4 linked regions of the Elephas maximus indicus genome follow. The protein of the gene in region 4 interacts with the protein of the main gene of each other region in a pairwise test. Links are inferred from orthologs where the notes say so. Each region holds a gene or a part of one and is shown on either strand. Other genes may lie near its edges. The genes, in order: SERTAD3, EEF1AKMT1, MKRN2 and NDN.

Region 1 (7,475 bases), on a different chromosome or scaffold from region 4:
GGCTGTGCTGGACCTTGTCTAGGGAGATGCGGAGCAGGGCTTGCTGATAGCTCCTTGGGCCTGCTGGGCCCCAGCCCCACTTCTCCTCCTCTTCCTCCTCTAAATCCGAGTGTTTCCTCTTCAAGCCTCCCACCATGATGCCCTGTGGAAAGGAGAGGGGCAAGTCAGACACAGCAGGGCTAGTTCAAATCCCACTTTCTTGCCTGTATGGTTATTGATGATTTTAATTATCTGAACCTCAGATAAGTTTCCTCATCTATAAAATGAATCCCACAGGGATAGGGAGAAAAGTAAATGGTTAAGAAAACAAGATCTGGACTTAAATATAGCTGGGATTGAATCCTACTTACTTGCCTGTGTGGCCTCGAATAGTGAATTTACCTCCCTGAGACTTGTTTCCATCTGCAAAATGAGGATCCTAACTCAAGTCTCTTTGAGTCTTAAAACTGGTCTTTCCATGATATTTATTTCTTCAAACATGTCACACACAAGACAGGTGTGGAGTACAGAGACCTGGACAGGAAGTAGAGAATCCTGGGTTTGAATTCTGTCTTTGACACTGCTCGGCTGTGTGATGGAAGTGACATGACATCACCCTTTTGGGACTCAGTTTCCTCATCTGTAAAATGGGGGTTGTAAAGAATACTTCTCACCACATTGTCAAGGAGATCACAAGTGTAATATGCACAGGGCCTACCACACAGGGGGGGCTTAATGATCAGAGTTAATTGCCATTTATTCATTCAATAGTAATTGCCATTTATTCATTCAATAGTTTAAGAGTGTCTACTATACTTGAGCAACCTGGAGCCCCAAGACGCTTTTTGCACAGGAACGATATTTCTGTCCGTGTCCTCTTCCTTAACTGACTGGGAGCGCTCCCAAAAACAGAAAAGAGGCCTCCCTCATCCCCTATGCTTCACCTTCTGCTTCCCTCAAAGTGCACCCCATTGGAAAACTTGCTAGAACTAAACTACGCCAAGCCCCGCCCCCTTAAGATACACCCAACCAGAACTTGGGTCTCCACAGGCCCCGCCCCCTCACTGGATCGCTATAAAGCCTCCAGACACGCCCCTGTCTGGACCATGGGCTTCTGGGAAATGTGGGTCTACAGCGGCCAACAGAAGAACCAACGCTGAGCGTACACTACAATCCCCAGAGGGCTCGGCGGGCCACAAGAAGGAAACTCCCCCCACCCTCCCTCAGGGCATGCGCACAGGGCGCCGGGTGGGTGGGGGAAGGGAACCCGGACGTCCAGCTGCCCCGCCCTCCACTGCCTCCCGGGCGGCGGGTCTGAGCTCCACGCCCAGAATACCCCTCCCCCACCCCTGCCTCCAGCTCTCCAGACTGCTTTCTCCCGGTCTCTCCGATCCCAGAAGGTCCGGATTGTTTCCCAAAATTGCCCTGGGACTGAGAGATCCAGGACCCAACACGTATCTCGAAGACTACAAATGCTGTCCGATCCTTCGGGAGACTAGGTATTCCGATCTGGAGACTCTCCCCTCAACTTTTGCCCCGGTTTTCAGGCGCCCCTGGACTTCACCTCCAAACTCCCCCTCCGGCTCCGAGACCCGAACATGGAACTCTCCCGCAGCACTCTCCCGGCCACTGCGTCTGGGAGACTAAGACTCTCTCTTCTCCAAATGCCCGCGATCCCAGCTCTAAATCCCCAGCCCCAAACTCCTCGCACCTTTTTCAGAACATGGGGACCCCGAATTCAACCCGTCCGGGAGATCCAAACTGGCCTAATCTCCAGATGCCTTGGCCACAAAGTTCCTTCCCTTGGTTTTCTCGCTGCTCCAAACACCCTGTGTCCCAGATTCAAACTCCCTCCATTTGAAGATCCCGCCCGAACAACTTCGCCTCCCATCCCCGATCTCGAACTCAGTCCGCTATTCCCACACCTCCCAAACCTCATCAGCCACCCTTAGCCTGTGCTTCCCACTCCCCGCCACCACAATTCCCGGGATGCGCTGCCACCTCCCCGGAACCAAGGCAGATCCCAAGCCGGGCAGCCAGTCCCTCACCTCAACTGCCTGGCGGCTCAGCGACAAGCTCGCAGAACCTCTGCCGCGCTTGGACCCACCGGTGCTGGGCTGGGGCCTCGCTCACCGTCCCGGGGCCTCGCAGTCTGGCCTCAGGCCCTCCCAGCTCCGCCCCGGAGCCGAGCCGCGGGCCGCGATTGGCTGGAGCCCTGCGCGCCGCGGGGCACCGATTGGCTGGGCGGAGCCACAGGCCCGTAGCCAGGAGACGCCCGGCCCGCCCTCCCCTGCCCCAGTGCTCCGCGCCTTTTAAAGGATTCCGACTTGCCAGGGGCGGGGCTACGCCTCCACGGTGGAAGACGGCAGGGGCATTAAAACCACTTTCTATGACTTTTGCTTTCCTAGCTCCGAGGTTGTCAGCACTGCTCTCTGAAATCCCCTTATGCCACGCCTGGACCCTGGGGTGGAGGAAGACCCGCTGGCACACCCCGACCCCGCTTCCCAGTAGGGCGGGGCCGAGAAAATCGCTGAGGCCTCGCCTCCGGGGTTCCGAGGGCTGACTACGGGAAGCAAGGAAGATGACGCGGCGGAAGGGTAGCCAATAAGCTGGCGCGGCCTGTGTTGCCTGGGCGACGGAAGCCCCGCCCCCTCGTTGCCCTTACTCTCTAGCCGCCCCCACTTTACCGGATGGCCCCCTCAATCTTTGGGACTTCTCGCAACGCCCTCTGATCTCCCTCCTGCATCCCCCTGCTCCCCCATCCTTACTCTCAGAATGGTGCCTTCGCTGCTGAACACTCGTTTATGGCTCCCTACTGCCCTGGGGTAAAGTCCAAACTCTACCTTTGCCACAATCCCTTTGCGGTCTGTCCCGAGGTACACTCTTCGCACGCTACGATCCTGCCACAGTGATTCATGTCCCGTTTTTCTAAAGTGGCCTTAAACGCCCTCCCCCACCGCGAAGACAAGAATTTTGTCTGTTTTCTTCCCTGTCTTATCCCCGGCGCCTACAACAATGCCAGTTACACAGCAAGTCCTCAAAAACCAGGATGAAAGACCTCTGGGTCTTTCAACTGGTTTCCTCATTCTGAGACCCCTGTGCCGCCGTCGTCGAGTGGATTCCGACTCACAGCGACTCTATAGGGCAGAGTAGAACTGCCCCCATAGGGCTTCTTAGGCTGTAAATCTTTACAGGAGCAAATCGCCACATCTTTCTCCAGCGGTGCAGCTGGTGGGGTTCGCACTGCCAGAACTTTCGGTTAGCAGCGGAGTGCTTAACCACCGTGCCACCAGGGCTTCTCCTCGTTCTAAAAATGTACCCTCAATTCCCAGACTGTCTTTACTCATCTCAAAGGTTCCCTCCTCTCGGAAGCCCTCCTTGACACCCCAGATTGGGTTGGGCCTGTCCCACGGCTTCCTGGCCTCCCTCGTCCCCCCCTCCCCGCACCGCGCTGCCCGTGCCTCCCCCACCCCCCCGGACCCCTCTGCCCGTGTCTCCCCCGACCCAGCCCGACCATCTGCCGGCGCCTCCCCCCGGCCTGGTCCGGACCCCTCTGCCCAGGCCTCCCCAGTCCCAACGCTGACTCCTCGGAGCTGTCACAGTCTGTGCGTCCCCTGAGGATAAGAACCAGGGTTATCCCAGTCAAGGCCTGGTCCCTAGCATCACCCAGCACAGGGCTGAACACAGTGAAAAAGTTTGTGAAATGCTCAGGCACTGTGACAGAAAGAATAGACAGCGGGCAGAGATAAAACTGCTGGAGCTCGGAAAGACTGACCCAGCGAGGCCTCACCCTCACGGCAGGGCTTCCCTGCACGGGGGAGGGGGAGGGGATAGTTTTCTCCAGTCCACTCCTGGGAGGGCAGGTTTAAGGCTCCTCAGACCAGTTTTCACCGGTTGGAATTTGTCATCCCAGCCAACCTGCTGTTTGCATAAGCAGTATAGGACTGGAATGGATTTTCAGGGGGCGTGGGGGAGGGCAGGAGGTCGGAGGTAGGGAGAGAGGGGTGACTCAGCCAGGTCTAGGAAGTGTCCCCCGGGAACAAAGTCAGGGGACAATAGATTCCAGGGAGGAACATGGGAAGGGGACAACTTTTTCCCTTCCTCCTCCCAAACCTATCCTTCCTCCAGGGTGCCCCCACTGTAAGCCCGTCTTCAGGTTGCAGCTGTGGGCTTCTTCCTAGATGCCTCCTTCCCCTCCCCCACAGCCTGTCCACTCAGGTTCCTCCCAGCCGTCCTCTCCTCCCCTCCCCTCAGCCCCTACCTAGCTCCAGCCCCATCCTCCCCCTGGGCTCCCAGCCTCCAGTCTTGCCCCTTCTAATCCACCTCCACGCAGTACTAACCAGAGGAAGCTTTCTAAAACACTAACCGTGACTGCCTCCCCCTTCCCCCCCGGCCCACCCTATCTCCCTCCTCTGCCTCACCCCGCTCCATGCCTAAAACCTCTGATTAAAGCTCAGTTTTTTACAAGGTCTGCACAATTAAGCCTCCATGGAGCTGATCACTCCCCACCTCAGCGCGGAGTGTTAACTGTAAACCCGTTGCCGTCCAGTCGATCCGATTCACAGCCAACCAATAGGACAGAGTAGAACTGCCCTGTGCCATAGGGTTTCCAAGGCTGTAAATCTTTACGGAAGCGGGCTGCCACATCTTTCTGCATGGCGGCTGGTGGGTTCGAACTGCGGACCTTTCTGTTAGCAGCCGAGGGCTTAATCACTGCACCTCCAGCAAGGGCTTCTTGTATTTACTGTAGGGCACAGATTTTAGTCCTTCAAAGGAACCCCGTGTTTTCTGACCTGGTCTTTGCTCCTATTGTTCCTTCTGCCTGGAATGACCTAAAACCTTCCCTGAGCTAGTTATTACCAAACCTTTAGGCTTCAGCTCAGACATCCCCTCTTCCAGAAAGCAAAAAGCTCCTCAAGCTAGGTCAGGGAACCCCTCTGTGCTCTCCCAGCCCACTGTACTTCCCCCATTAGCGCCCTGGTCACTCTGGATCAGCAGGGTTGTCTCCTCCACTGGACTGTGAGGGCCATGAAGGGGCTCACAGCTACCTCGGTCACCACCAGACAAAACCAAAAAAAAAAAAAAAAAAAAAACCAAATCAGTTGCTGCAGTATCAATTCCAACTCACAGCCATTCCATATGTGTCAGAATAGAACTGTGCTTCACAGACTTTTCAATGGCTGATTTTTCATGTAGATTGCTAGGCCTTTCTTCCGAGGTGCCCCTGGGTAGACTTGAACCACCAACTTTTCAGTTAGTAGCTGAGCACTTTACGTTTGAGCCATCCAGGAATTCAGACACAGAACAGGGACTCAATAAACTTGCTGAGCGAATGAATCAACACCCAGAAAATTTAACACAGAGTCCGGTCCTCTAGAATAATTTGAAGCCCTTGGCTCAAGATTTATTATTCCCTGACTCCTGGGCTGTCCTTCCTTTGTTCCCCATTCCCCAGAATGCCATCCTCCTGGGCAGGGCCAGAGCCCTAGTCGTACTGGTGGGAGGGGTAGGTGCTGTGCCCGTCGTACTTGTTGGTGGTGAGACAGTGCAGCATGAAGTGGCCCAGGTCATGTTTGGAAATGACCCTAGAGGGCCCTCGTCCATCCAGGGTCACTGAGTAGGCCCCTGTCAGCGGCTGGTCCCCTGTGAGGCAAAGACAGAGGGGCCAGGTGAAGCAAATTGTCCTTTCCCCAATACATGATTACCCTCATGACCTTCCCAGGGTACCTACTGCATACCCCCCCATCCCCGAAACCAAACCAAACCCTTTGCTGTCGAGTTGATTCCAACTCATAATGACCTTATAGGACAGAGTAGAACTGCCCCACAGGGTTTCCAAGGAGCAGGTGGTGGATTTGAACCGCTAACCTTTTGGTTAGCACCAATGCTCTTAACCACTGTGCTACCTGGGCTCCACCGCGTGCCCAATTGCTATAACATCCTACAATATGTGAAACCCTTCCCATGTGCAGGGTGCTTGTATAAGTTCTTTACTTCGCTCATTCGACAAACCCTTATTGATTACCCACTATGTGCAGGTGCTGGGCACACAGGAAAGGACAACAGAGACAAGCAACCTTGCTCTCAGGAAGCAGACATTCACTAGGGAAAGGCAACTAATAAGCTAAAAAAGATAGACAAAACGGTGGGTGAAGAGAAATAAAGCAAAGAACAGGCTAGAAACTATTATCAACCCCATTTTACGGACAGGCAAATTGAGTCTTGGAACGGCAAAGGTGATAAGTGGCAAAGGCTAGATTTGAACCCAGATCTGCTCTAAGCATGATGATGCTTTCTGCCCTCTGGACCTTTCTAAGAGCCCTGAGTGATATGTCCCAGGCATGGATCTGCATGTTATAGGCAGTGGAAGCAGACACATTTTTCTGACCTTGGGGACAAGGTGTTGATATTTCTGGAGCCTGGGAGTATCACTAGGTCTTTCTTAAACTCTGGGGATAGTGGAACAGGCTTGGCTTATTGTTGAAAGGGCATTTAGTGACTACGTTATGATAATTAAAAATTACTGGAAAAGTGTCCCTTTACATCCAGAAGATCTGACAGTGACCAACTTCATGTAGGGATCAAATTCAGCATCACCCATTGACAGACAACCTGGAATAACGTGCAGTAAGACACACAACCTCACCCATGTATTAGTCCTGCCGAAAATGTTCAATCTGAGTCTAACTGTGAGAAAACAAGAAAAATCCAGAACGAGGGGCATCTGAAAGGACGCCTGGCCTGGCCAATGTCGTGAGAGGCATTAAAAACAAAAGGTGGGGCGGGGGGGCTGTTCTAGATTTAAGGTGATGGGGCAACTAAACATCATACGTGATCTTTGATTGCGTTCTCATTTGGGGGGAGAGGAGGTTGAAAAGATACTTTGAAAATTGGGGGGAATCTGAATATGGCCCAGTCCATTGCTGTTGAGTCAATTCCAACACACAGTGACCCTAGAGGACAGAGCAGAACTGCCCCATAGGGTTTCCAAGGCTGTAAGCAGACTGGCACATCTTTCTCCTACAGAGTGGCTGGTGGGTTCAAACCGCTGATCTCTCGGTTAGCAGCTGAGAGCTTTAGCCACTGATGCTAAATGATATGACAGAATTAACATCAATATCTTTCTTCTTGCCTGTTGAGTACAGTGGGTTGATGTCCACAACTTACACTGTGCAGAAAAAAAAAATACATACATATGTTTAATTTTACCTGAATCCACAACCAACACCCATGCAAGCAGCAGTCAAGATATCAAAAAATGTATTGCACTGGACAAATCTGCTGCAAATGACCTCTTTAAAGTGCTAAAAAACAAAGATGTCATTTGGAGGACTAAGGTCTGCCTGACCCTGGTATTTTCAATTGCCTCATATGCATGTGAAAGCTGCACAATGAATGAAGAAAATTGATGCCTTTGAATTATGGTGTTGGCGGATATTGGATATACCATGGACTGCCAGAAGAATGAACAAATCTGTCTTGGAAGAAGTACAGCC
Region 2 (7,368 bases), on a different chromosome or scaffold from region 4:
ATTTTTAACTTACACGAAGACTTTTCAGTTTTTTAAAGAGACCCAGGGATGAGTATATTGTTAAAATATTTACCTCTACTGAACATAACTATGAAGGTATAAAGTTGCATTTGATTTTTCAAAAGATGCTGCAATATGATTTTAAGAAGTAAATCAAGGCTATGTATTGAACTAGTAACAAGCTGAATATCAAATTTATAAAATTTTATTTGTATTTTTAAAATCCATAAATGGGAGTTAAAATATGTCTTTTCACTAAATATTTTTATTACATTTTTGTTTTGACCATGTGTGATTTGTTCATGGGTATTTAGCTAGATTCTTTTATGAAACTTGTTGAAATGGTGCTAGTTTGTTTACCATCATAGGATGATTGACACAGGCGACCTTACACAGTCATAAAAAAACAGGAAATATTGTATAGCTAAACTTGCATTACCTTGTAGGGGAAGCCCCAACCCTAATAGAATACCCAGTTCTCAGAAAGAAAATAAAAATTTTGTTTATATTCTGTAACATTTAGTATGTTTATTTTTACCTCAGCCAACAGTCTTAGAAACAGTTTGCATTATTAGCTAAATCATTGGATTTGGGGCACGTTTGTAGTAAACATTTTTAGTAGTTTGAGTCATTCTTTGTGGCCTTTCAGGGGAAGTGGAGAATCACCATTCTGTTACATGCTAGACAGACTTTCCACCCTTCGCCCAATCTGAAATCTTACGAACATACAGTCATGTTTTTAAGGAAGAAAATAGTTTGAAAATATATTTGTTTTAAAATTGATTTTGCTTTGAATGTTCATTGATTTATAGTGGTATTTCTTAGGTTATATTCAGACTTGATTACACTTAAAAGGATGGAGAAAGAAAAATTAGGTTATTTACAAAGACTAGAGTGTGTTTCTAGTCTGTTTCCTCTCTTTCATTACTAAGGGTGGGACCTTAGGCACAGGCCAACCATCTGTCATTTCAGAGAGCCATAAATGATTTTAAAGGTCCTAAATACAAAAATCCATTACTGGTTTTTAAAGACATCTTTAAGATAATGGTACACTCCAGAAATACCATAGGTTTATATTGAGTGGCTTATGAATGATGGGAGCCCTGGTGGTGCAGTGGTTAAGAGCTCAGGCTGCCAGCCAATAGGTCAGCAGTTCAAATCCACCAGCCGTTCCTTGGAAATCCAAGGGGCAGTTCTACTCTTCTATAGGGTCCCTATGAGCCAGAATCGACCCAATGGCAATGGGTTAGTTTTTATGAATGATGATTTTGGTGTGTTGATTAATTATGGGTTTGTTATGTTTCGAAGCATAGGATCCCAGCCTGTGTATTCTATGTATAATCTCAAACGGCAGTTCAGTCTTGACTTTCTTTTAAAACTAAGTAGAAGCAAAGACCATATTTGATGAAATCATTGAGAAAAATCTTTGCTTGGAAATTCCATACAGCACTTAATGGCACATACTGCCTCAGTCCTAGCACATAAATCATCCTATTATGCACTTTCCATGTAAATTATTTTTACCATCCAGCATAAGAGTGAACTGAGGTAAGTCATTGATGTTTTCCAGAGTTGATGAAGAAAATGAAACAAAGAGTTTAAATATTTCTATTCCCATATTAGCAGTTTTTGATACTTTGGTTAGTCTTACAAATATTCTTTTCAGTCAGCCCAAAATCTTAGGTGGTAATCGTCATTTGCATACCTCCTAAATGTGCTGCCCCAGATGGTTCTCTCTGAGGACTGGTCTGGTAAAGCTATTGGAAAAGGTGGAGTACAGGACAGGTAGAGCGACCTAGATTCAATTCCTAGCTTGGCCACTTAGGATCTACATGAATTTCCAGGCATCTGTCATCTGTATCACGGAATCATAAATGCTGTTATTCTCCAAGGAGAGGTTTACAAACATAGTGATGTATAAAATATATGTTCAATAAATTCCATTATATTTAAAGATTTTTTTCCTAAGAACACATTTTCATTAGGTAAATGTTTCCTAACATGAAGTCTAAGGCCTGATAATCATTAATTTTTAATTCTGTGGTATATTCACATTGATAGAATATGATCCTTACAGATCTGGTCACAGCCACCATAGTAGTACTGTGACAAAGTTCACCATACTATTTACTGTATCTTTTTTTTTTTTTTTAAAGAGAAAATCAACCCAAACCCACTGCCATTGAGAGAAAATAGGTTTATGTGAATCCACAGTTGCGATTTCTGCTGAATGTATTCCTATTCCTATAGCAAAAAATTTCCTGTGATTCCCAAAGTTTCACACATCATTAGTTCTTCATAACTTAGTCTGTTATCAAGTTTGTGAGAAATAAAATGGATTTCTTTACTATGAATGTAAAGGCTTTAATACACTAATACTCATTGTGAAGCTCTGAAAGATCTTAACCAGATTTTCCTCAAAGCATCTAATGGGCCTGAATTCTAGGGAACATGCTTCAGATAATTGAGTAATTTGATGATAAAGCACTCAAATAATGGAAGAAAAATACCCGTGTTCATTGTAGTTACAGGTAATGTGTTCATTGCAGTTACAGATAATTAGTAGTTGGTTTGGTTTTTTTTTTAAATAGGAAAACAGTCTGGCTTCATCTTTATCTTAAAAGATCTTCCCAGAGTGACTTCGGTTTCTCTTTTTGCACACTTTCTACAAGGAATTTGACTTTTAGATATGAACAAAAGCCCTTTCTGAATATGCAAAAGGAGTAATTCCTGAATTGAAGTTAATCTGAAAGCATCTTTCAAGTCCAGTTTAACTTGATAAGTAATTTCCCCTTTGTTCCAATGAGAATTACTTTGCCTTTGGTATTTAAAGTTTTGATATGCAAAAACCATTACAATACAAATGTTTAACTAGGAAAATATTAATCTTCATGTATTACTGACATGCTGTCTGAGGAATCAGCATTATTGATAGAGGTATAAATATTGAAACTTCCTGACGTCTGTGGTCACTTAATTATAAAAATATTGTATGGTAAGTGATACACATTACATGAAGGTAACTACTGTGTCTTACATGGTTTTAAAGCAGTTGAAGTTTTGAAAGCTTAAATCGGTTTCAAACCAAAAATAGTTTGCTTTCACATAAACTTCTCTGTTAAATTACAAGCCAAGGCAATCTCCTGTGTATGGAACACTATGGAAACACTACCTCTGAAAAATACACTCCATAAAAGTTGGTTAGTGTTTCTTGGTTCATGTTAATTGATTTTTTTTTCTAAGTTTGATATATTTTCTTTCCTGAATTACACCTGGTTTTGAAATACTTGGTTTAATGGACTTGTCATCAGTTTGAAATAAAGTCAAATGAAGCATGCTTTGCTCTAGACCTGAAAACAATACTTAAATAGAAATTATGGTACACCCGAAGGTCTGAATTCAGTGTTTCATAAACTACTGAGTCACACCAGTTGGTAGCTGGCCAATTCATTTATAGCCTCACCTTATACCGGAAAGAATTTAAAGTTGATCAGCAGAATATATAAAACTTAAAAAAAAAAAATGAAATTGATAAAGGAACACAATATACATTGTTTTGGGGAATAGAAAGTAAATACATCACTTACGATTTGGCAACTGCCAAGGTGGAAAAGACCACTTAATAACTGCCGGTAATGTGCTAGGTACTACGCTAGATGTGTTATACGTTTTACTCATTGTATTCTAACTTGTGAAGACTGTGAAAGAAGTCAGCTGACCAAAAAGCATCTTATATTTCCGTTCATTTTCATAGAGAATGTTGCTGCCTCACAATCGGTAGCTGGTTTTATTTCCGTGTGAAGAAGACAGCTGTCTATAACATCTGTTTCACACACCAATCCGATCTTGCACTCTTTTACACCTCTTGGCGTTCTTTGCAGCAAACCCCATAATGAAAGATGAGTGCGGATAGATTTAGATTAACCACAGTAAACAGGTAGGTAACGATGCTGAGGAAATCTGATTAAGGTGCACGGTTTTTTCTTTCAGGTTTTAAATTTCTAATCCTATCAGTGTTATAAAGCCTCCATTTAATATCTTAACTTCACGTGAACACAAGACATACGAAGTCTTTGTAACTGAAAACCTATATTTACTCTTGGTTTCTTAAAATGCTTAACTTGCAGTGAATCTAGTTAAAATATTACACTTTTTTTCACTGCCATCATCCTTGGAAGTGAGATGGAAAAATGTGCGGGAACTCCCAGCAAGTCAGTCTGTGAGAAGCAGATAAACGCCTGGGTCGGAACGCCTACGGGAAACCGCCCTTCTCCAGCCTTCCAGACAAACATGGGCCAGGGCGTCTGCGCGCGCGCGCGGGTTTAACTTGCCCCGCCCACGTCCTCTGCCCTTTCGGGAAACTGCGCAGGCGCGGCGGTGAGTGTACACTCGGCGGTGGTTGTCGGGCTATCACTTGCTGAGGGGATTTGGGGTCGGTTATGGGTCTTTGTTCCTTCTTTCCCTCATCCTTTTCCCAGCGGAATTAGGTAGTGGTGGCGGGGCAGTGGCAGACTCGCTGAGCCGAGCGGGGCGACCCGGTTCCTTGTTTGGCGCCGGGAAGTTGGGTGCTGAGGGGAGCAGTAACCTACCAGACCGGGTGGCACGTGGAGAGCGCCGGACCAGGCCTCGCCACTTCTTTATGTTCTATGAACAAGGCTTAGCAGTATGCAGGCAGGCGTCTCTGTTTAATAGTGGACGACGGTCATCCACTCAGCAACTGTCAGTTGAGGGCTGATAAAGCAGGTACTGTGCTAAACCAAAAAACTCAAACCCGTTGTGGTCTAGTCGATTCCAACTCATAGCGACGCTACAGAACAGAACAGAAATGCCCCCATAGGGTTTCCAAGGAGCGGCTGGTGGATTTGAACTGCCGACCTGACCTTTCAGTTAGCAGCCATAGCTCTTAACCACTGCGCCACCAGGCCTCTGCGAGATATTTTAGCGCATGAAATTGAGAAATCTAAAAAAAGCAGGATTTACTTCAACGTGAGTGCAATTGAGTGTATTGCTTTATTTGTCACAAACTGGACAGATAACATTTTCAGTCCAGAAAAAAAGTAGCTATGGCACTGGGTTTTCTGGGTTTACTTATCCCCCTTATTACAAGGTTTTTAAAATCACTAACATAAAGAGTTACCTGAAGTCTCTGAAGTTTTTCTAGGAGCTAGGGACCCCTGGCACTGTGCTGGGGCTGGGGAATGAAGTTGGATACAGGAAGCCTCGGCTCTTCCAGCAGACAGACAAGGGAGTGAGGAATTCGGCTGTGCCAACTAGCCCCTCTGGTACAGTGTGAGTGCTGTGATTGCAGAAGTACAGCAAAGGTGGGGGACGTGTATCAGACCAGAAGTGTGTCTTGATAGATAGGGGTTGTGTGTTCGTTCATGGGGGTATCAAAACTCATCGCCTTGTGCATTTAAGATCTGCATTTCACTATAGGTAAATTTTTCTGCAATTTTTTAAAAGTTAATTAAAAAAAACAATTGTGTAAAGCAAAATTCTACCGCAGTTTTTTAAAAAGTTAAAAAAAACAAAAAAGAATGAGAAAGCAAGAGGGAGGGAACGTTTTAGGCAGGGAACTACATATGCAAAGAAGAAAATTAAAGATTATGAGCCAACTTTCCTGACAATAAATCAGATTAAGAGTAGAATCATAGTGCAATATATGAAAAGTATTTAGAAAACATCCAGGCCAGTCTCCATTCATAGAGAAACCTCGCAGACTAGCCCAAGTTTTCTCAGCCATTTAGTCAGGTATCTGGGTTGAATCCTAGGTTATTGTTCTTTCCACTGGATCGTACTACCTCAATCTAAATTTCTTGCAGAAGGCAGTGTGGTACTATGTAAAATTACACAGTAGGAGATCTTGCTTTAAGAAAATTTGGTATGTGGAAGTTGAGGAATGGCACGTGATTATATATTTGAAATGTGATTGGATTTCCATATTACTCCTTAGGATTACATTAGTTATGTGAAGCACTATTTAAAGAAATGGAAGCTAATCATGGCCCATTGCTATTGTGTGCCCTCCAGTCCATTCTGACTCATAGTGACCCCGTAGGGTAGAGTAGAACTGCCCCATATGGCTTCCTAGACTGTAACCTTTACTGTAATCTTTAAGTAGTACAACCAAAATGTCCCTTAGAAGCAAGGATGAGGAGACTTCATCTTACGTATTTTGGGCATGTTATCAGGAGGGTCCAGTCCTTGGAGAAAGATATCATGCTTGGTAAAGTAGAGGGTCAGTGAAAAAGAGGAAGACCTTCAACGAGATGAATTGAAACAGTTGCTGCAACAGTGGGCACAAACATAGCAATAATTGTGAGGATGGTGCAGGACCAGGTCACCATGAGTCGGAACTGACTCGACAGCACCTAACAACAATCTTTACTGGAGCAGATCACTAGGTCTTTTCTCCCTCAGAGCAACTGGTGGGTTGCAACCTCCAACCTTTGGATTAGCAGCCAAGCACTTAACCACTTTGCCACCAGGGCTCCTTTCCACAGCTCCTCAGGAGCCTGCTAATCTTTGCTGATGCCACACATTGATGTGTCCATCGCTTTGTTCATGCTGTTCCTTCTTTTTCTAATCCTCACTCTTTATTCCTGTCCCTCAAAGCCAAGCAAGCTCAAATACTATGAGTCAGAATCGACTCGACAGCAACAACGGGTTTGGGTTTTTTTTTTTTTTTTTTGCACTTCTATCCTCTTCCCATCCATGCCCTTCAGTTTGGTCCGTGGCACTGAATGGCACTCTGTTAGAGGGCTCACCATGTTATCACTATTATTTGTCTATGAGCAGGGTTTCTCAACCTCTGTACTATTGTATTTTGAGCTAGATAATTTCTTTATTACTAAGGGCTATCTTGTGAATTGTAGGATACTTAGCAGCATCCTTGGCCTCTACTCTCTAGATGCCCGTAGCACCCTCCCTAGTTATAACAACCAAAATGTCTCCCAGCATGGTCAGATGTTTCCCTGGTGGTTAAAATCACCCCTGATTGAGAAGCACTGACATGGAGTATGAGCTATGTGATGCTCAAGGTCAGTTTAATAATAATACAGTACAGCACTGCCCAATTTTTTTAGAGTTGAAAATCTCTTTCACAGTGTTATTACAAACCAGCTTAGAAATTATTTTAAAATGCAAGAGATATTTTGATGTGTAAGTTTTTTAAAAAAGTTTTTAAACTAAGGTGAAACTGCTTGATGGATAAAGTGTTTTACTTTGGAATGATGGAAATGTTTTAGAAGCAAATAGAGTTGGTGGTGATTACACATTGTAAATGTACTAAATGTGACTGACTTGTTCACTTTGATTTTATGTTTTGTGCATTTCACCTCAGTATTATTTTTTAAAAACAACTAAAGT
Region 3 (8,021 bases), on a different chromosome or scaffold from region 4:
TAATCCAAGCACTGGTTGAAAAATTACTGCAATTATAACAAAAGAGACTTCCTAAGCTAACTTGTCATCTGCTTAACATCATCCCATTCATCCTCATTAGAATAGACTGCACTCGGTCTACTTGGCTGTTGGCCAATCAAATACCATCACACTAAAGCTAGCTTTATGACTGAAAAATCTCACTTAAGAGGTTTAAAAAAAAAAAGCTAGTTTGTGATGAAGCAGGCAGTAAAGTTCACCTTGCAGAGCTGAATGTAATAAATATACTGGGACAGTCCAATAATGAACAGGGCACTGGCATTGGGATGAAGACCCCTGTGTCTATTCCCATTTCTGTGCATTTGCTTGCCTGATTAAAGAGTTTTAAAACACAGAGTATACGGGTCTGGAAGTAGAAGAGGCAACTGGAAGTCTGCTCAGATAGAGTAACACAGATTAAAGGTACCCCACTTCCTTTCATTCAAATAATAGACTGGCTTATAAAATAAACAATATTACCCGTGAGTACTGTACTCCCTTACATAATCCACTGTATGAGAACAAACCGTCAACATTTACCCTAATGCAAAGATTAGAAGCAGGGGCATGAGAGCTAGATTAATGGAAACGGAACAGAATGGAAATGAGAATGCTGACACGTTGTGAAGAATGTAACCAATGTCACTGGACCAATTTTTGTTAAATGGGATCCTAATCTGCTGTGTAAACTTTCACCCAAAACACAATATTATTAAAACAAAACAAAACTTGGTACTCTTGGTAATTTTGCAGATTTTTTTTTAAAATACTTGTTATGTTTATTTGGCAAGGAAGTGCTTCTGAGGTCTGACTTCCCTCATACTCCTTTGCAAGTAAACACCTTTTCCTTTCTAAATGTTTGCGTTTTCCCTTCACATGACCATATTAAAACCTTAGAAAAATCCTACAGTCAGAAGCTTTAACTTAGCATTTCCCAAACTTATTTGGAGGCCATATAGTTTATGAGAGCATGGACTCTAATGTCACACCTCTGCCACTGAGTGGATTTTTGTGCGATCTGTGGAATGGTGTTGGTTCTGGATTACGTGAGACATGGCTGGTAGAGCACCTAAAAAGCACCCAGAACATACATCAGCCCCCTAAATGGAGATCTTTTCCCAACATTCCAACCTACTCTTAGTTTACATGTAACAATATTCTATAGGATGCCCCTGTTTGGGAAATACAGGATTAAAGTTCTCAGGTCAGGCCATCTTGGGGTGTAGAAGGAATAAAACAAGATGATCCTGATTTAAATTCTTAATTCTGCACTTCAGTGTAAAATTTGGGGCAAGTTTCAAGTACTTCTGGGTGTAAGCTTTCCTTATCTTTAAAATTAGATACTATAAGGAGTTGTGATTCACTTATAAAGCATTACATAAAGGTGCCCTCTTTTGCAGACATTTTACGAGCTGTAGACTGGGTTCAAGAATGGTAGAATTAAACCATAAAAGTAGATGGAGGAATAGATAAAACTTCCTACGTAGCAAGCTAGTATTTGCTTTTTAGTACGCAAAGACATAGGAGCATTCCCTCCAACAGGAGAAAAAATATACGCAAATAATATATATGCAGAGATCAAAAAAAGACCTTCTAGTACAAATAACCTAGCAAAAGTCTTTTCTATGGACACTAAATTCATCAAATGTCTAACAACTGCTTAACAAAAGCCACCTGGGCCTTGGATAAACTGGATGAACAGTTTATACACACTAATGCTAACAGAAAGCTTTAAACAGTCACTTATCAATTATTCATACTAATGAAGAGAAGTAACACTATCGATTATATGTAAATGAACTGTTTATTACATAACCAAACTATACAGCTTTTTTTTTTTTTTTTAGCAATGTTTCCCAAACAGGTATTGCTAATATCAATTATTAAAATAAATTTGTATCTTCCAAGCATACAATTCAACAGGACTGGGGTTCCAATACCGTTAAGCTACAAGCTAACGAAGGAGTAAGAGTGTTACGCAACCAAGCTGTTTCCATTTCACAGCAGCAATCAGACCTTAGCCATCTGGTTTTGAATTTTCTACACTAAATCATCCATTGCTGTCGCGAGCATTTCTCCAGTAAATGGGTCTCTCAGTAAGATGAGGGCATCAGTCAATCTCTTTCAGCCTCAGTTTCACGCACCGTAAAATGGAAGCAAATGTGCCTCGCTGTGAGCTCTAGTGACAACGTATATAAAAGGCTTGGTAACATGCGGGATGCTTAACAGGTTTTCGGTAAACGCTCCCTGTGTTATTTTCTGCACAATTTTTACTAATTCTATGCCAGTTCAGGTTACATCCGTGTCCTTCCAACTAAATCTTCAGCTTTTCAGCTAGAAAGTCAAAGGCTGGCTGACGGGAAGCGAAGGGGCTCTGGGTCCCCCAGATTCTTCGAGGATCTTCAATCGCGTAACCACCCACCGCGGCGTGGTGCCCTCGTTAGGAAACCACCAGAGCCCTTCACTCAGTTTCAAATCTCCCTTCCCAGCGACACTGCAGGCGCCAGGAGACCGCGTCCCACCCCCGGCCCGCTCCGGCCCAGCCGGCCTCCTCCCAGCCGCAGGCGCCCAAGCCCGCTGCGCAGCCTGCCCCGCCGCGCCCGCGGCTCCGAGCTCGGCCGGGGGACACGGGCCCGCACCCGCCGCGGCCCGGGCTCGGGCTCCGACAGCGCGCTAACCCGCTCGGAAGGCCCACGACTCTACTCGGCCCTGGGCTCGCTGCTCCGGCCGCAGGGCTAGGGCGCTGCGGCTGCTCGGGGCCGGGAAGGGGCGCCCCCGGATTCCGCGGCGCCCGCCGGGGGGCGCTGGCCACCCTTCGGGCCACGGGCGGCCTGTGCCGCGGCGCCGCGCACGGACCTGCAAGTGACCTGCTTGGTGCTCATGGTGGTCGGGCTGGGGGGCAGTCGTCGCGCCACTGCCTCTCGCTGTCGCCCTCGCCGCCACCGCCTCGGCCTTGGCCCTGCCCATCCCGCGCGGCCGCGTCACGTCGGCGCGCACCGCCCTCCGCGTGTGGCACTTTTGTAGCGCCGGCCAGAAACCTGACCGCCGTCATAATTGGTTCCGCCGCAGAGGGTGGGCATGGTCCGGTCCCCCTAGCCTTGCCGTCTGTGTGCCGCATTTCTAAGCCTCCGGGGCGGGTCTTGGCTGGCGTCCTAGTTCTCCCCGACTAGTTCCGGGTCCTCATAGTTCTTAGGATTTGGCCGGGTCTCCAGTGGCAATCCCTAGCGACGTCTGCTGTCTCTAGGGTCTCCTCACACCTTCCCCTGGCCGAGCTCCCGCCTCCTCCCCGCACACTTTCATCCCAAATACCCCTACTCATCCAGGCTTGCACTCCCTAGGCCCCTTTCCCCCTTAAGGAATTTTTAGTCCCCTCTGACTCTTCTTTACCCTTTTTTCAAAATTTCTATTCCCACCCTACTTTTTAGTCCTCTTTTCCTTTCCTGACATTCCTGTGATGTTCATCTTCACTTCCTACGGTGGAAATCCAAAAAGACAGTCTTCAAACTTACTCTGATTTACTATAACCTGCACAAAAATTTACTCAAAATTAGCTCTTACTGAAATGTAAGCACAAAAATTACAAAACTTTTGGAATAAAATATAGAAAATTTTTATGACCTTAGATTAGGCAGATTTCTTAGCTATGACATCTGAATGATGTAAGAAAAATATGACAAATTGCACTTCATCAAAATTAAAAACTTTTGCTCTTCAAAAGACACTGCTAAGAAAAGAAAAGCCACAGGAGAAAATGTTTGCAAATCATTTACCTGACAAAGGTCTTGTATCTAGAATAAAGAATCCTTAAAACTCAGTACAAAAATAAAGATCTAATTAAGAGATGGGAAGACACTTTACCAAAGAAAATATATGAATGGCAAATAAGCACAGCATAAGAAGCTCATATCATCAGCATCATTAACAATTAAAACCACAAAATCAAACCCATTGCTGTTGAGTTAATTTTGACTTAGAGCAACCCCATGCGTTACAGAATAGAGCTGCTCCGTCACGTTTTCTTGGCTGAAATTTCTACGAAAGCTGATCCCTAAGCCTTTATTCTGCAGTGCTGCTGCTGGGTTCAAGTCATCAGTCTTTAGTAGTTGAGCACAAACTGTTTGTACCATCCAAGAACCTCATTAATAATTAGGGAAATACAAACTAAAGTCACAACAAGATACCACTACACACCCACTTCTTGTTGTTGTTGTTAGGTGCCATCGAGTTGGTTCCGACTCATAGCGACCCTATGCACAACAGAACGAAACACTGCCTGGTCCTGCGCCATCCTTACAATCGTTGTTATGCTTGAGCTTATTGTTGCAGCCACTGTGTCAATCCACCTAGTTGAGGGTCTTCCTCTTTTCTGCCGACCCTGTACTCTGCCAAGCATGATGTCCTTCTCCAGGGACTGATGCCTCCTGACAACATGTCCAAAGTATGTAAGACGCAGTCTCGCCATCCTTGCCTCTAAGGAGCATTCTGGCCGCACTTCTTCCAAGACAGATTTGTTCATTCTTTTGGCAGTCCATGGTATATTCAATATTCTTCACCAACACCACAATTCAAAGGTATCAACTCTTCTTTGGTCTTCCTTATTCATTGCCCAGCTTTCACATGCATATGATGCGATTGAAAATACCATGGCTTGGGTCAGGCGCACCTTAGTCTTCAGGGTGACATCTTTGCTCTTCAACACTTTGAAGAGGTCCTTTGCAGCAGATTTACCCAATGCAATGCGTCTTTTGATTTCTTGACTGCTGCTTCCATGGCTGTTGATTGTGGATCCAAGCAAAATGAAATCCTGGACAACTTCAATCTTTTCTCCGTTTATCATGATGTTGCTTATTGGTCCAGTTGTGAGGATTTTTGTTTTCTTTATGTTGAGGTTTAATCCATACTGAAGGCTGTGGTCTTTGATCTTCATTAGTAAGTGCTTCAAATCCTCTTCACTTTCAGCAAGCAAGGTTGTGTCATCTGCATAACGCAGGTTGTTAACGAGTCTTCCTCCAATCCTGATGCCCTGTTCTTCTTCATATAGTCCAGCTTCTCGGATTATTTGCTCAGTATACAGATTAAATAGGTATAGTGAAAGAATACAACCCTGACGCACACCGTTCCTGACCTTAAACCAATCAGTATCCCCTTGTTCTGTCTGAACAACTGCCTCTTGGTTTATGTACAGGTTCCTCATGAGCACAATTAAGCGTTCTGGAATTCCCATTCTTCGCAGTGTTATCCATAGTTTGTTATGATCCACACAGTCGAATGCCTTTGCATAGTCCATAAAACACAGGTAAACATCCTTTTGGTATTCTCTGCTTCCAGCCAGGATCCATCTGACATCAGCAATGATATCCTTGGTTCCATGTCCTCTTCTAAAACCAGCCTGAATTTCTGGCAGTTCCCTGTCGATATACTGCTACAGCCGTTTTTGAATGATCTTCAGCAAAATTTTCTTGCGTGTGATATTAATGATATTGTTCTATAATTTCCACATTCGGTTGGATCACCGTTCTTGGGAATAGGCTTAAATATGGATCTCCTCCAGTCAGTTGGCCAGGAACCTGTCTTCCATATTTCTTGGCATAGACAAGTGAGTACCTCCAGTGCTGCATCTGCTTGTTGAAACATCTCAATTGATATTCCGTCAATTCCTGGAGCCTTGTTTTTTGCCAATGCCTTCAGAGCAGCTTGGATTTCTTCCTTCAGTACCATAGGTTCCTGATTATATGCCACCTCTCGAAATAGTTGAATATCGACTAATTCTTTTTGGTATATTGACTCTGTGTATTCCTTCCAGCTTCTTTTGATGCTTCCTGAGTCGTTTAATATTTTTCCCATGGAATCCTTCACTATTGCAACTCGAGGCTTGAATTTTTTCTTCAGTTCTTTCAGCTTGAGAAACGCCAAGCGTGTTCTTCCCTTTTGGTTTTCCATCTCCAGCTCTTTGCACATGTCATTATAATACTTTACTTTGTTTTCTCGAACCGCCCTTTGAAATCTTCTGTTCAGTTCTTTTACTTCATCAGTTCTGCCTTTTGCTTTAGCTGCTCGACGCTCAAGAGCAAGTTTCAGAGTCTCCTCTGACATCCATCTTGGTCTTTTCTTGCTTTCCTGTCTTTTCAGTGACTTCTTGCTTTCTTCATGGATGATGTCCTTGATGTCATTCCACAACTCATCTGGTCTTCGGTCACTAGTGTTCAATGCATCAAATCTATTCTTGAGATGGTCTCTAAATTCAGGTGGGATATACTCAAGTTCATATTTTGGCTCTCGTGGACTTGCTCTGATTTTCTTCAGTTTCAGCTTGAACTTGCATATGAGCAATTGATGGTCTGTTCCACAGTCGGCCCCTGGCTTTGTTCTGACTGATGATATTGAGCTTTTCCATCGTCTCTTTCCACAGATGTAGTCAATTTGATTTCTGTGTGTTTCATCTGGCGAGGTCCATGTGTACAGTCACCGTTTATGTTGGTGAAAGAAGGTATTTGCAATGAAGAAGTCGCTGGTCTTGCGAAATTCTATCATTTGATCTCTGGCATTGTTTCTATCACCAAGGCCATGTTTTCCAACTACTGATCCTTCTTCTTTGTTTCCAACTTTCCCATTCCAATCGCAGTAATTATAAATGCATCTTGATTGCATGTTCGATCAATTTCAGACTGCAGCAGCTGATAAAAATCTTCTATTTCTTCATCTTTGGCCCTAGCGGTTGGTAGGTAAATTTGAATAATAGTCATATTAACTGGTCTTCCTTGTAGGTGTATGGATGTTATCCTATCACTGACAGCATTGTACTTCAGGATAGATCTTGGAATGTTCTTTTTGACAATGAATGCAACACCATTCCTCTTCGAGTTGTCATTCCCAGCATAGTAGACTATATGATTGTCCAACTCAAAATGGCCAATACCAGTCCATTTCAGCTAACTAATGCCTAGGATTATCGATGTTTATGCATTCCATTTCATTTTTGACGATTTCCAATTTTCCTAGATTCATACTTCGTACATTCCAGGTTCAGATTATTAATGGCTGTTTGCAGCTGCTTCTTTTCATTTTGTGTCGTGCCACATCAGCAAATGAAGGTCCCGAAAGCTTTACTCCATCCACGTCATCAAGGTTGACTCTACTTTGAGGAGGCAGCTCTTCCCCAGTCATCTTTTGAGTGCCTTCCAACCTGGGGGCTCATCTTCCAGCACTATATCAGACAATGTTCCACTGCTATCAGACAATGTTCCACTGCTATTCACACCCACTAGAATGGCTAAATCATAAACATTGACAATTCCAAGTGTTGGTGAGCATATGGAGAAAACTAGAACACTCATACATTATTGGTGGGACTGTAAAATGGCACAGCCCCTTTGGAAAAGTTTGGCAGTTTCTTAAAAAGTTAACCATACACTTACCATGTAACTTGACAATCACACCATTAGGTATCTACCCACGAGCAATGAAAATGTGTATCCACACAAACACTTGTACATGAATGTTCACAGCAGCATTATTCAGAATAATCTAAAACTGCAAACAATCTAAATGTTTGTCAACTGGTGAAGAGATGAACAAAATGTGGTATATTCATATAATGGAATACTACCACCACTAACTGACATCAAGTTGACTCTGACCCATGGTGACCCATGTGTGTCAGAATAGAACTGTGCTCCATAGGGTTTTCGATGTTGATTTTTTGGAAGTAGATTGCCAGGCTTTCTTCTGAGGCACCTTTAGGTGGACTTGAACTTCCAACCTTCTGGTTGGCAGCTGAGCTTACTGAACATTTTCACCACCCAGGGACTCCAATGGAATACTTGTCACCAATAAAAAAGAAAGGAACAACTGATACGTGCAACAACATGGGTGTATTTCAAAAAAAAAAAATCATGCTAAATAAATTAAGCCATACACAAAAGATTACGTATTGTATGAAATTTCTAGAAAAGGCAAAACTATAGAGACAGAAATCAGATCAGAAGTTGCATGAGGTCAGAATT
Region 4 (6,727 bases):
CCCCTCCTCTTAATAAGCTTATGATTTGGAGAAAGTTAATGATTTTTTGTTCCAGAATTTCCTCCTTGGTACAGATGTAATGAGTGCCTGCCTCACAGGGCTGTTATGAGGATTAAATACATGGAAGTGTTTAGTACAATGCTTCACTCTTCAAATGCTCAAAAACATAGCGTAGTTTTTTAAAGCTATTAATTTTAATAAATGTAGAAAATGAAATTAAGGAAATTGCTCTATTAACTGTGATTTAATAGAGCAATGCGATTATGAGCAATTTTGCTTGTTTTATACTTTTCTGTATTTGTCAGTTTCTGAAACGAACATGTGAGTTACATAAAAAATAAAACTAAGCTTCACAGACTCATGACAATGATGAGTAGTGATTTTATACCCTATTAGCTGAGCAAGTTGTGTCTGTACATTTTGTAAAACTGACAATGCTGTCTCATTACCAACAATACTACTTTGTTTAAAACATATATAAAGGACACTTTTCCAAAAATGATTGTATCACAAGATCTTTAATGTTTACTGATGGTGGGACTGTACTTGTTTTCAGTAAAGTGTGCCAACTACCCACATTGAGACCACTTCAGTTCAAATCACTGAACTCCCACTCCCCACAGATGTATTTCCTGTGCCCAGCAAGGACAGAGAGGGGCCTTGACATTTCTCTTGGTCTGGCCAGCTTTACTGGAGAGTTCTTCAAAACTCTCCATGAGCAGTCTTAATCCCAATATACATCATCTCTTCCATATAAAAGAATAAGATGGAAAATTTCTCAATGTATTTCACAAGTTTAGCACGTCTCTGGTACAAAAACCCAAGAAAGGTAGCACAAGAGAGAAAGCATGAAGCAAGCTTACTTATAAGCAAACATGCATAAATCCTAAACGCTAGCAAATATACCCCAATGAATACAACATTGCATTAAATGGTATAAAAGCACTGTACTGAAAACTGAAAGTTACACGTGAAACACTGCACTGTAAATCCTGAATACTCTAACGCCCCCCACCCCTCCACAGCACTGGTGAGGGTCAGATCAATCAATCTGCCTCCCGACCTTGCTAGTCCTCGGAAATACTGCTGCGGAAGGCGTGGGCAATGGTCTCAGCCTCCCGCAGGGCTCTGGCCTCCTGGAGAGCTTCTCTGTACCGGGAAGGCCAGGCCTGGGGGTCTTTCTTAAAGACCCTAGACAGGAACTCCATGATCTGCATCTTGGTAATTTCACGGCAAGCTCTGGGGCCCCAGAAGAACTCATACTCGGGTGGCTCAACGTATGGAACGCGTTGGTACTTCAGGTAATTCTGCTGAACAAACTCCTCCGTGATGACCTTCCTCACATCCGCAAAGGTGGAGTGCTTCCTCCAGGGCCGCAGCCCCAGGATGCGCAGCACGTTCCAGACCGCGCTCTCTCTGGCACCGCGGCCCTTCACGTAGATGAGGCTAAGAATCATCAGCAGGAGACCTGTCATGGGCATGTGGTTGCTCAACGCCATCCTGTCCAGCTCCTCCGGCTCCAGCGCCTTCACCAGCGAGAACTCCATCGTGTGCAGGTTGGTCAGCCTCAGGTGCAGCCCGAACACTCGGGCGAGGATGATGCTGGTGCGTTTGAGAATGCTTCTGCACCATTTCTTGTAGCTTCCGATGACATCCTTCACTATGTCTGGGAACCAGATGACCATCTTCCTCTGGTCCTTGACAAGCACGTACCACATGAGCTCGTGAGCCTTCTGCACCAGCTGAGCAGGGGTCGGTGGCGCCAGGCCTGGCTGGGCCTGGGCCGCGCTCTGGGCCTGGCAGGCGCAGTCTTCTTCCTCCTCCAGCAACAGAGCCCTCATGTCCCCCTCGTCGCTTAGGGCCTGGGGCGAAGGCGAAGCCTGGGGGGCGTCCATCGGGCTAAAAGGGAGGCTCTGCGGCTCTCCGAGGGTGGCGGCCTGAGAGGCTGGCGGCGGACCCTCCATGGGGACCCCAGGGCTAATGCACACCTCGGCATGGGAAGCCTCGGCTGCAAACCTGGAGTAGCCCAGATCCTTACTTTGTTCCGACATGTCTGCTCTGTCTGACAAGGGCAGGGCCTCTGCGTCCCGGAGCTCTTAGGATCTGCGCTCCCTCTGCGGACTCCTGGAGAGGAAGTGCGCGCTACTGCGCGGCGCCTTCCGCAGCGGAGAGCCGGGGCGGAGCGGGAGAGCGCGCCTGCGCGTCTGCAGGCTGCGGGGCGGGGGCCCTCGGCCGGGCCAAGAGCCAAAGGGGCGGGGCGGGGCCGAGCCCGAAGGGGCGGTCTTGCAGTGGTGCCAGGGAAGAGGCTAGAGACCTCCACTAGCAAGATGGCAAGAATGAGTTCAGATTTCCTGTTTGGGCTAGAGAGGTGGGGGTAGGGGCCAAGGCGGGTGGCCGCTGGAGAAGAGGCAGGTGTATGGGGAAAGATAACTTAAGCTTTTGAGAGACTTGAGGTCAAGTTTCTCAGGAAATGTTCAACGGGAATAAATGTTCAACCAGAATTCCACCAGAATCAAGTTAGATACAAAAGTCCTAGAGAAAAGTCTATGCTGTTGTGTAAACTTGGCTATCATAAATATAATTTAAACCAAGGGAGCATTCGGGATTGCCCAAGAAACTGTATAAACTGTGAGGAGGGTGTCTGAGATTGGAATCCTGAGAAACACCAATAAAAATTGATGTTGTCCCTAGCAAACCAGAGGCATTATAAGGAGAAACACAGAATGTAATTAAAGTCATTCTCTATCAGGCCATGTGAAAACTGAACGTTTTTGGAGATAATAAGCTACTAACCCTTAGTGTTTTAATGGTCATTGATTTTGGTTTTCCATTTCCTTTGAGTTACATTTATTTCATTTCGACTTTTCCATAAGTTCCTATAATACAAAGATTGTCATATTTATTAGCACAAGCTTGTATGCTAATGTATTTTTCCTTGTTTGCCCAAAACACTCCCACCCCTGATTACTTCTACCTCCACTCTGTGTTCATGTGGATGCTCCTACCTTCTCAGATGATCCCACTCCCACCCTCTGGCAGCACCTGAATGGTCCCACCTTTGGGAGCTTCACCCAAGGCCTTCCTCATATTGTTTTTAGATGTGGGGTGCATAGATATGTGTCAGTCTCTCTCACATGTTCAAAGGTAGAAGATGAACATATTTATGGTCTTGTTTCCCAAGTGCTGAAAACCCATCGGCAGTGGGCAAAGATGAAGCTGACACTCCAAGGGCGTATCCGTGAAAAAAGGGGCCTGCGTTGAAGCCCCTGGGACTAGGGCTCTTGAGATTGATCAGTATCTTCGGTCTGAGCTGAGTTTTGTCCTTCAGCCCTTGCTGAGTTTCCTCAAATCAGCGGCTCCTCTTAAATATGCTATCTCAGGTCTGGCTATTGTCACCTGAAACCCAAAGCTTGTTTAAAATATGTCTTGACATATCTACAGTCCTCTCTTAACTTGGTTATATCTCCTTCCTCATTTCTCACTTTATTATTTCTCAAGTAGATTTATTTATTTACAGTCATGCATCGCTTAAGATCCCCAATATGTCCTATGAAATAGGATGTTATGTGATTGGGACATTGTGTGTACACCATATTATGGATGAAGGTCCTTTCAGGCATTTGCTTCCAGAATAAGTGGGTTTTGTCCATATTAAAAATTTCATGGGGAAAATAACCTCCCTCTACAAATACTTTATCAAAGATTCCAACAAATTCTTCTGCTGCCTTTGAATCAGCACTCACAGACTCACCATTTACTTTCACATTAAACAGCAAAAAATGTTGTTTGAAGTGCTTGAACCACCCAGAGCAAGCAATAGACTTGATATCACAGTCTGATCTTGGTTTTTCTTTACGCATCTTGAACAAGCATTGTGCCTTAGCAGTGATGGTCAATGTGGTGAGAGGGATTGCTTTTGTATTTGGTCCTCAGTCCACATCATTACCAATTTCTTTATGTCTGATATAAGTCCCTCTCCAATTTTCATTAGCATTGTAGTTTTCAGTGGATCCCATCCTTTAACAGTTTGTTTTTCTCTGTTTTTGAGGATCGTGGTGATTGTCCAGTGTGATATGCCTAAATCTGCCATGTCTGGCTCTCCTATCAAGATTTCTGAGCTCTATTATAACTTTATGGGGCTAGGGTCAGATATGTGGTTGGACATTGCCTGAACGGATGTTATGAGGCACATTACTGTGTATTGTGCTGTCTCATTCTTATCGTTGGGTTTTCTTTCACACGTGTCACCTTTAGAAGAAGCACTCTTCCATGGGTTCCTCCAACAGGACTTCTTAGCCACCCACATCACGAGTATAATTCCTACATATCATACAGATCTGTTTTAGTTGTTTTTTTTGCACTTAGCTTCTTCTTTAATTTATAAATTTCTAACATTTTCTTGAATATATCTTACAGAAGTATGATATACCTTTATTTCTTTGTTTTTTAGAATGGTGCTTGTATAGATTTTTTGCTCTTATGCTTCTTAAATATAATACTTTAACCTCCATTAATTTTCCTCTTCTTTCTTTAGTTTGGATTTTTATATTTTTCTAATTATTTGAATTAAATATTAAGTTCATTTAATGTCTTAAAAATTAGGACGTTTGAGCCTATTATTTAAATCTCAGCTCATTTCTCACCATGGGCCATAATTTCTGCTGATGCAAATTTATTAAAACTACATCCTCACAGTTTACCCTCCTAGATTTAGCAAATTGATGAAATCAAATTGCAAGCTTGGGCACAGCTGTTACAAAAATCAGTTATTACTGAAGTGGGATAGCAGATCTTCAACTAGAAAGCTCCTTAGGCTTGAGTAGCTGCCTGGAGCAGGACTGGATAATTGAGTTCCTGCTTGGACCTCATTCTGGTGAGGTCACCGACGCTATGCTGGAGAGTACACCCGCACCTCTGCCACAGCTCATTTCACACCTCACTTCTTACAGACCCTGTGGATTAGAACCACATAGGGATTATTTTAGGAGAGATTAAAGCCTCAAAACTGATTCTCAATTTTGAAATCAGGTACAGAGTAAATCTCTGGTGCTACTCTCCCTTGAAGCCCAACTATACCTTGGTACTGTTATTTTCTTCCCAGGAAAAGATCTGATGAAGATGCTCGATTTCCCAATAAGAAGAAAATTCAATAAGATGGGGAAACAAAGTAAAGCTTAGGATAGCGCTTAAGGGGAGAAAACACGTGCACATGTGCCATGGGAAGGATTTTGTAGCTACTTAATAAGGTGCCAACCCATAAACTAAAGATGCAAGAATTCAAAACTATAAGGAAAATGACAGCTGACATTATGGGAAAGAATAGGAAACCAGTGCTCATGAGGTATGCACAAATGCTTAAACCCAAGGGTCAAGATTTGGGGCTGGACCTCCAGCGATGTTCCAAGAGTGTTGGGGATAAATTAGACTTGCTCGGTATCCACGAGACTGCCCTTTTTGATCTGGGCAATTAGTCTTCTCAGGAGCAGCAGCTTAGAAGCAGAAGCCTGATACTTACGATAGTATCTCCCCAAAGAAACTAAGAAAAGGATATTCTTTAAATCAAGATTCTGTAAATAGAAGCTTCAGGGATGCAGCAAGTATATGGAAAGTATATGAAGAATTTTCTGGAGTAGACAGTTTGCTGGTTGGTTATTCCAAACTATAATGTGGAACAGATTAAACAGCTGTGGGATAGGCCGTTCTTGGCAGACAGGCTTAGGAAAGGAGGAGAGGCCTGTCCTGGCATTGGTTTCCATAGTAAGCAGGGGAAGGGGGCCACTTCTGACAGCCTCCAGTGGACAGAGCATGCTCATGGTGCAGAGGCCCAGAGGCCCTGAGTGAAAAGTAAATCCTTCTGGCTCTTTTCTTTCTACATAGACAGCACCATCCACCTTGGACCCCCAACTAGGGTACCAAAGATCTCACAAGCCACAGGTTTGAAACAGAACTCATGTTAATTTGTTAAGCAATTATTATTGAGCAGTATTTGTTATGTGCCTCACAGATTTGCATTGTAGAAAAGTAGCTCAATCCAAGGGGGAAACCAATGACATCATGGACTATTTGGCAGCTAGACCTTTTTTTGTCAGAGAATAATAAGAAGCGAGGATAGGCAGTGCTGCTTTCCACATTTGGGAGAGTGCAGGGGAGGAGATTCAACCGTTCACTGGAGACCTTCTAGTCCTGCCCAGATCCACAGTGCAGCCTGCCAGCACTCAGAGAGTAAGGGTCAGGGTTGTCTTTTAGAAAGATCACCTGGTTACAGGATTAAGTCTGGAATTTGGGGCAGGTGGGCAAGTAGAGACAAAGGGACCAATTAGGAAATTTTCGCAGGAATCCATGTGAGAAAAGCTTGCAGTTCATCTTCACATGGCAACTATTAAACACTAAATTTCAACCATTGTGCTAGGTACTGGGGATATAATAAGAAAGACATGGTCACTGCAATCTGTAGTATGGGAAGTGGTGGTGGAAAAGAGCCACAAACAATAAAACAAATGAGTAACTAAATAATCATTAATCGTGATGCATATCAGGAAGGAACCACAATGCTGTCAGAGAGAAGGGAACAGAGGCAACTGACTTTCAGTAGGGATGGTAGAGAAGATATAAGGAAAAATGAGGGGCTAACTATGAATACCAGGGACAACCAAGATTCTGTCCTGGAGATGACTGAGTTTGGGCAGTGCAGTCTGAGAAATGGTGGTGCCATTTCTTGAGGTATATG

The links.
Region 1: the proteins of NDN (region 4) and SERTAD3 interact in a two-hybrid assay, tested with the Homo sapiens proteins (2 studies listed by BioGRID and IntAct). The link is inferred for Elephas maximus indicus from reciprocal best matches to the Homo sapiens genes NDN and SERTAD3.
Region 2: the proteins of NDN (region 4) and EEF1AKMT1 interact in a two-hybrid assay, tested with the Homo sapiens proteins (2 studies listed by BioGRID and IntAct). The link is inferred for Elephas maximus indicus from reciprocal best matches to the Homo sapiens genes NDN and EEF1AKMT1.
Region 3: the proteins of NDN (region 4) and MKRN2 interact in a two-hybrid assay, tested with the Homo sapiens proteins (2 studies listed by BioGRID and IntAct). The link is inferred for Elephas maximus indicus from reciprocal best matches to the Homo sapiens genes NDN and MKRN2.

What each region holds. Positions count from the first base shown.
Region 1 is NC_064829.1:111,219,692-111,227,166, reverse strand, and holds the start of SERTAD3 (SERTA domain-containing protein 3), read right to left. Parts: upstream 3,012-7,475; 5' UTR 2,823-3,011; intron 2,251-2,822; exon of another isoform or gene 2,028-2,250; intron 620-2,027; 5' UTR 351-619; intron 143-350; 5' UTR 137-142; coding exon 1-136. Other genes in the region: BLVRB (flavin reductase (NADPH)), read right to left, coding at 5,465-5,622.
Region 2 is NC_064841.1:51,169,253-51,176,620, reverse strand, and holds the start of EEF1AKMT1 (EEF1A lysine methyltransferase 1), read left to right. Parts: upstream 1-4,360; 5' UTR 4,361-4,377; intron 4,378-7,368. UniProt on the Homo sapiens protein: Protein N-lysine methyltransferase that selectively catalyzes the trimethylation of EEF1A at 'Lys-79'.
Region 3 is NC_064838.1:37,722,744-37,730,764, reverse strand, and holds the start of MKRN2 (E3 ubiquitin-protein ligase makorin-2), read right to left. Parts: upstream 3,006-8,021; 5' UTR 2,901-3,005; coding exon 2,875-2,900; intron 1-2,874. UniProt on the Homo sapiens protein: E3 ubiquitin ligase catalyzing the covalent attachment of ubiquitin moieties onto substrate proteins.
Region 4 is NC_064831.1:99,136,139-99,142,865, forward strand, and holds NDN (necdin), read right to left. Parts: upstream 2,172-6,727; 5' UTR 2,052-2,171; coding exon 1,068-2,051; 3' UTR 506-1,067; downstream 1-505. UniProt on the Homo sapiens protein: Growth suppressor that facilitates the entry of the cell into cell cycle arrest.